Tamandua tetradactyla: one gene and its partner. The protein of the gene in region 2 purifies or fractionates together with the protein of the main gene of each other region. This does not show direct contact. Links are inferred from orthologs where the notes say so. Each region holds a gene or a part of one and is shown on either strand. Other genes may lie near its edges.

Region 1 (3,600 bases), on a different chromosome or scaffold from region 2:
CTGCAGCTCCAGTCAGAGTCCATGGGCATGGGTCCACACTGGGATTAGTTGAAAACGTCAGACAAACAAAGCAGCATCTAGATAAGGAGACTCTTTTTAAAAGAACCACTTGCCCAAAGAAAATTAAATTATCAAAACCCCAGAAAACTGAACAGAAAAAAAAGCGCTTTACTATGATGGAGTGTGCAAATGTTCTAAAAATGATTGTGGTGATGAATATGCAACTATGTGATGATATTGTGAGCCACTGACTATATACTTTGGATGGACTGTGCATGAGATATCTCAATAAAAATATTTTTTAAACAAAAGATAAAATGAAAGCTTATTAGCAAAAAAAAAAAAAAGATAGGAAAAGAAAAAGAAAAAAGAAATGAGCCAAATTACTTACCAGAAAGTTTTTCTGTTAGTTTGATCTGAGAGTATCTAAAGTCATAAAAGAAAGCTTTTCCTATGGAAAGAAAAAAATTCAACACACAAACTTAATCTCATTAACAATGTAATGTATGCCCAATCTCCCAACCAGTATATGATGACAACTTGACCTATCATCAAGAGAATTTTGCTTCCATAGTGGGCTATGACTTGGACAAACGCTTTACTGATTTTCAACTTCAGTTTCCTCTTCTATAAAATGAATGAGCAGACAAGATTTTTTTAAGTTTCTTCTAACTGAAAAGCTCTATTTCCATGTCTTGTTTTTGAAGGAAAAATGCATGAAAGATAAAAGAAGGGTAAGGATAGGAGATGCAGAATTATTGTGACAACAGATCAGCATATGCAATGGAGAGAAGGGTTGAGAGAATAGAAGCATGCAGAGGAAAGGATCATGTATAACTCAAGAGTTGATAGAAACTGAAATTAGATGGAATTTGAGAAGCACAAGAGGGAATAATAAGTACATCACTTGAATGTTTCCTGACAAAAATCACAATAATAATTATGACAACATTTATTTGGATCTTCCCAGGTGCTAGGTTCTTCACTGATGTATTTTCACATTTAATGTGCACTAAACCCTATGAGTTGGGTATATTATTCTTCCTATTTTATGGTGGCAGAATAGAGGTCAAGTGACTTGCCCAGGATTTCACACCTAAGAAGGGGTAGAGCCAGGATTTAAACCAGTCACCCAATTTCAGAGCTCCTGCTACTAACTACACTTTTCACAAGTTGAAAATGTATAAAAGAATTTTGCCTAAAACTTAAATAAGTGTTTTAGTCAGACAGAAGCAAAAAATGATAAAAGCACTATGCCACCTTATAGCTTTAAATTACATTATAAGAAGAGGCCAAGCGAGCTGGAATACTCTCCAAGTTGGAATTTATAATGACCGCAGTTTGATGTCATTATATTGTGGCTTGAAGTGTTTCCCACAAAAAAGATATGTCCAAATCATAACTCCCAATCCCATGAATGCAACCTTATTTGGAAACAGAGTCTTTGAAGATATGATAGTTAAAATGAAGAAAAACTGGATTTAGGGTGGGAACTAAGTGACTGGAGTTCTTACGAGAAGAGGAAATTTGGATATAGATGAACATGGGGAGAAGGCCGTGTGAAGATGAAGGTGGCAGGGTGAGGCATCTACAAGCTGAAGAATGCCAAGGATTTCTGACAAAAAAAAACAGAAGCTAGAAGAGGCAAGGAAGGGTCCTCCCCTACAGGTTTCAGATGGAGCATGGACCTGGTGACATGTTGATTTCAAGCTTCTAGCCTCCAGAACTGTGAGAGAATAAATTTCTGTTATTTTAAGCCATCCTATTTGGGATATTACAGCAGCTGTAGGAAACTAAGATGCTACTTCATCTCTCCATTTTTCATCATTCTTGCCTCTCCACTCCTGGCCTCATACCCCCCTACCCTTCCAGACAGGTCCATTTATTCTTCCAACTCTCCACAGGTCCTGCCCCATCAATCATCCTTGATGCCACACTGACCATATCAGGATTTGACCTCTCCTCTGTGTTTCCCAAACCCAGCCCAAGTATACTCCATTCTAATTATTACCTCTTGGTTTCTAAGGAGGTTTCTTTCCTCACATGGATTTCATCCATCCAATCCTCTGAAAGGATGCTTGGCAAACCCACTAAAGTCTTGGGTATAATTTGTGTTTGCTGTCCCTGCCCTACTGCCTCTGCCTTGTGTTTGTCTCCCCACTACACACAAATGCACTTGCATACACACAAACACACACACATGGAGCCCAGAGTAATCATAAACATAAAAGAATATTCCAGAAATGCTGTTGAAGGACAGTCTTGGAGTGTCTCAGAATATAGCACAAGCTCACCAACCAAGACATATTCTAACCCTCAACATACCCTTCCCATTTCTCCCTGATCTTTTTGGCCACCCTGCTCCACCAACCTGAACTCACCCAGACACCAGCTTCAGGAACAGCAAAAGAGGAAATGTGATGAATTTATAGCAGGCATAGTCGCACAGGAGTCAGGAAGGATGTGGTCTTAGAGGGTAGGAACAAACTTGCATCATAGGCAAAGGCAGAGAGACTGTTACTCACAGAGTTGGACTTTCCAAAACCAGATAGTTCATGCTCTCAAAACTGAGCCTGCCACTGTGTACACTTGTGCGGGTTTTACCACTGCACAGATGCTCCCCTCCCAGGGGTTAATAGGGACTAAGCTCTAGTCTGAGCTCAACTCGCCAATCTGCATGCCTGGAGGAAGAACACAAAGGCATTGGATGTGACTCTGACTGTGCTAGAGCAGTTCAACGTTGAGTCTTGCCCTTGGGTACCATTCTTGTCTTTACTTAGAAATTATTTTCATGAAATAATAGGACTAGGGATCCACAAGTCTGCTGTGTGGCAGTTAGTGTGAGGGGTGTAGCAAGTTCTCACTTACTAAAAATCACAAGAACATCAATGTTTCATGAGTGATTTACATTTTTAAAGTATACACTTATATTTTATTGAGAGTATATATTTTACTTTTATGTATGCATATCTGTAATATAAAATCAGATTCATATCCCTCTCCCTTTTTGTAATCTAATATGCTTTCCTGAATGGTAGATAAAAGGTTATAATTTATTAGCCCCTTGACAGTTGTGAAGAACCCTAGGTATGCCCATAGATGTGTCACCTGTCAAGAATCTTGGCAGGAAAAAAGGTCAAGAGCTTTGTAATTAGAGTACAAGATGGTGATAACTTAGTCCCTTGCCTGTCTCTAGTTGCCATGTATCTGTTCTGTTTTCCTACAGCCTTGTTCCCTACATACCCTTGCTGCCTTCATTTATTCTTTTTTTTTTTTTTTTTTTTTTTGGTGACATTCATGTAAAACAAAACAAAATTAACCATTTTAAGAAGGGCGAACTGTGGTGTATACATATCATAAAATGGGCATTGCCCAAATATCCCTAAAGATTGGGAGAAGGATCTAGGGAGATGGAGGAGTTATAACAGAGAAGATAGGATTTAACAAATGAGTACGACTCCCGAATCATTATATTAATATTTCTTTTAGTCTCCAACGTCTTGGAGCAGCTAGAAGGAAAAACCTAAAATTGTGAAACTGTAACCCATACCATACCTTGAAATTTGTTCTATAACAACTTGCTAAAGTGTGCCTTGAAAT
Region 2 (3,945 bases):
AGGCTGAGGACGAATCCTCACACACTAAGGCCCAGGCGTGTCCCTGCTGACGCCCTACTGCGCAGAGGAGTCAAAGGCTGGGGTACACCCACACCCCACTGCAGAGGCAGCTGAGCCTCTGAAAATGTGACGAGTCCAGAAAGAGAGGTGGAAAGAAACACACAGGTACAGCTGCTGCTTCCACCTCACTGCACATTGCCATTGAGGATGCAGGGATCCACCTGGAGTAAGAAGGGAAAGACCATTTTAGTCCGGGTGAGAACCAAAAGGGAAAACACCTTAGCAATCCCTCCAAATCAACACCCTATACAGAAGGCTTCAGACAAAGGTGGTGGCAAAGATGACAGTTCCCACCTCAGTGTAGGTGGGCGGTGGCATGAACTTGAACTCAGGAGCATACATAAAGATCGGGCTGTCCTGGGAGCCATCCATGTCATCCAGCAGAGGGGTAGTGGGGCTCTCCAATCGGTGGTCTTCAGGAATGATATCCATATAGCAAGGAGGAGCTAGAAAAAGAAATCAGAGGGATAAGATGCCTGGCCATCACACACGGTTTCCCAAGAGGCAGGCCAGAAGAGGAAGACAAGACACGTGGTCTGGCTCACCTTCTGGGGTATCGGGGATGTGGAGATCCACCCAGCTCATCTCGGAGCTGGTTCGGCTGGCCATGCTGGAGGTCCGGCTGCTCAGCCCCGACCTGCTGCCAATGACCAGAGGCAGGTCAAGGATGACTTTCTTGGAGCCAGGAACACTAACGTAGATCTAGGAAGGAAAACGGCAGATGTTAGACTAAAAGTCTGGAGAAAAGCCTGCTGTGGTCATGACAGACGAGCAATTCCTCTAGAGCCCTCCATCCCTACCCACTCACCAGTAAGGAGTATTCAACTCGCAGGATGTTACAGCCCAGGATGGAAGGCCGGATCCTCTGCACGCGAAGGCTCTTGCCACGCCATGACGCACACGTGCCGGAGATGATATGATTGCCTCTGACGGACGACAGCTTCTGCGTCAGCACCTTGGTCTGACCGTTGGCAAGGTAGGTGTGGCGGGCTACGATGGCAGCTTTGGGGACCACGATGCGGGAACATGTGTTCTCAAAGTCAGCATGGATGGAAATCTCATCACCTAGCAATTAGAAAGACACAAATTTAACTGATGCTCAGAACAGTCAACGACTTCTCCTCTCCCAGTTCCCACCCAACCCCCTCCTCCAAACTCAGAGTCCCTGTTTTTAAAAGTCTACTACTTCAGGCATTAGGTTTTTACCTTCACAGAATCCTTTTCTGTCAATTCGAGCAGAGACAGATACCCGTCCATCAGGAATGAACATGCAAGAAACTTTCTTCTCCTTTTTAGCAGACACAGGTGCCTATGTACAATGGGCAGAAGAATGGTTTGTGATTATCTAGAGATTCTTCTCCCACCTTTTCACTCCTTCCCTAGAGGAGGCAGGCTTCCCTCCTCCCTTCAGACTAGGATCTTATCCCCTGAGGCACTTCAATCCAATGCCCAAAATGTATCACCTTCGAAATTCAGGAGGACAGATCTTAAAATGAGCCTCACCATCAAATCAGGAGTATTGACATCCACTAGATCCATCACTTCAAAGCTTTTCTTCGTCTCTTGAGTTGGCTGGCCGGGACGGTCAAGAAAAGCCTTCACCCAGTAGTCTACACACCCGTATTTTCCTTTGAAGGATGTTCCCAAGGGCCTATGTTAAGAAAAACAGCACAATTTATTCTGATACGTTCACCAAAAACAGTAAATGACCGAAGGGAGGGAAGATTTTTAAAGACAGAAGGGTTTAAAGGTACATTTGACTGGTCCATACCCCTGTGGAAGCTCAAAGCCGAACTTGTATTCATATTTGTTTCCAGGTCTCATGATCACCATTTCGTTCTCACCTGAAGGGAGAGCAAAGGTAAGCACCCATGAGATTTCCTGTTACACTTGAAACACATCTGTGTGACAAGAAATGCTTGGACAGCATGTGAGGGTATTGCAATGCCCCCCCTTCACCCCTTACACTCCTAAATGAAAGGATTCTGGTGCATTTCTTTGCAGCAGAAAGTTGAAAAGCCCTGTCACGCTCCAAGGCTCAGTCACGCTGAGGACAGACACACCTGCTGTCATCTCCGCGAGCAAGCAGAGGTGCAGCCTTAGGCAAGGCTTTGAAAAGCTGGGGACAGCCCCAGGGACAGGGCACAGGCCCCTGGACGGCCTCAGGACAGGCACCCTAAGGCACTGTACAGACCGCCTTGGGGAGAGGCATGCTGGCAAATTAAAACTTAAAAAGCAAAAGGCAATCTCAGCAAATTTAAATATGGGGGTAGGCTTCATTTTCTCATCTCGGGTTCTTCTCTGCCCAGCGTCCGCCCTGCAGCCCTCACCCCGGGCGGGGCCCGAGGGCGCAGCTGGGGAGTGGACTCACCTGCCGGCTCGCCTTCCAGCACCAGCGTGTCCTCGTAGCGCAGGTACTCCAGGGTCTGCTTGCACTGCTGGGACCCCTGCGTCCACAGCACCTTGGCCACCCCGCAGGCCAGGAGCCGGACGGCGCGGACCCGCGTCACCTCGCACACCTCCACTAGCACGCGGCCCGCCACCTTCTCCCCGCCGCAGTACACCTTGTCGGGGTCGCTGAAGACCACCTCGAAAGACTTGATCTTCCTGAACATCACCATGGCTGCACCGAGCGGCTCGAGAGACACGGAGGACAGACCGGCCGCCCCAAGACCGCCGAGGGCCCTTCGCGGTGACCAGGTTATTTACTCTTCCAGGGAAGAGGGGGGTCCTGAAGCAGGCGGCTCTCCAGAACAAAACAAAAGACTCAGAGACGCCCACAAACTACGCTCACTATCCGAAGACACGCGAAAAGCGGGAAGTCCGTCACTGGTGAGACAAGAACAAGGCTGGCGTCCTCCCCCACCTGCCCCTCGGCCCTCCGTCTGCAAACACAGCGCCCCCGGCCCGGAAGCCGCTTTATATAGCGGCGGGCCGGGCAGGGCCACGCGAGCGCCGGGCCATGGGCGCGTGCTGCCCTCGTGCACAGCCCTCCCATTGGCTGCCCGGCCCTTGTTTACCAGCAACGCGACCAATCGGCGAGGGCGCCGCGGCGCGTGGACACGGCGTGCTCCTGGCGGGGAAACGGGATGCTAGCCTGCTGCCCGCGGGGGGGCGGGGCCGGGGGAGGGCCTCAGCCCTGTTAGCCGTCCTCAGCCCCCCTCAGGTCCCGCTCGGCCCCGCCTCAGCCCCCCTCAGCCCCCCTCAGCCCCGCTCGGCCCCGCCTCAGCCCCCCTCAGCTCCCCTCAGGTCCCACTCAGCTCCCCTCAGCCCCCCCCTCAGCCCCCCTCAGGTCCCCCCAGCCCTGTTAGCTCCCCTCAACCCCCCTCAGGTCCCGCTCGGCCCCGCCTCAGCCCCCCTCAGGTCCCGCTCAGCTCCCCTCAGCCCCCCCTCAGCCCCCCTCAGGCCCCCCCCGGCCCCTCCCGGATGTTCCAGGGCGGCCGCCTAGGCGACGGGCGTGGCGCGTGAGGTAGAGGGGAGATGTGCTGAGGGGAACTTCGTGGGGAAGGGCGCGCCCACCGGCGCTGCTCCGCGCAGACCCCCACCCGCGTCTCTGAGGGAGAACCTGCCTCAGCCTCCTGCCCGCAGGAGTGTGCACGTGACCCCTTTCCGGGGCTCGGGGCGGGTGCCCCCCGGACCCCGCCCTGTGCCCGGCGCCAGCGGCCCGGGAGGCTGCGCCCCGTCGAGGTTCTCCCGAGCGCCTTTCAGGAGCCGGGAGGAGAGGGGGCGCGGCCGCGAGGCACCGGCGCCCGCCGCTGCGTGGTGGCCTCGGGCTGGAGGGGGGGTCCCCGGCTGCGTCAGGGCCTCAGGACCCGAGCCCCCAGGAGCTCCTCTAACTGCAGTACGAAAAGCTCGTGTGCGGAGGTTCAGGGAACCCTCCTTTCG

What was found. Proteins that work in one complex are often made in the same cells at the same time.
Region 1: the proteins of TXNIP (region 2) and NLRP3 purify together in Homo sapiens (affinity purification with western blotting, with the first as the bait; 4 studies listed by BioGRID). This does not show direct contact. The link is inferred for Tamandua tetradactyla from reciprocal best matches to the Homo sapiens genes TXNIP and NLRP3.

The regions. Positions count from the first base shown.
Region 1 is NC_135346.1:61,881,063-61,884,662, reverse strand, and holds the start of NLRP3 (NACHT, LRR and PYD domains-containing protein 3), read right to left. Parts: upstream 2,469-3,600; 5' UTR 2,382-2,468; intron 831-2,381; exon of another isoform or gene 452-830; 5' UTR 392-451; intron 78-391; 5' UTR 1-77. UniProt on the Homo sapiens protein: Sensor component of the NLRP3 inflammasome, which mediates inflammasome activation in response to defects in membrane integrity, leading to secretion of inflammatory cytokines IL1B and IL18 and pyroptosis.
Region 2 is NC_135330.1:1,467,845-1,471,789, forward strand, and holds the start of TXNIP (thioredoxin-interacting protein), read right to left. Parts: upstream 2,970-3,945; 5' UTR 2,682-2,969; coding exon 2,432-2,681; intron 1,905-2,431; coding exon 1,832-1,904; intron 1,712-1,831; coding exon 1,564-1,711; intron 1,370-1,563; coding exon 1,267-1,369; intron 1,126-1,266; coding exon 869-1,125; intron 763-868; coding exon 606-762; intron 507-605; coding exon 355-506; intron 222-354; coding exon 186-221; 3' UTR 1-185. UniProt on the Homo sapiens protein: May act as an oxidative stress mediator by inhibiting thioredoxin activity or by limiting its bioavailability.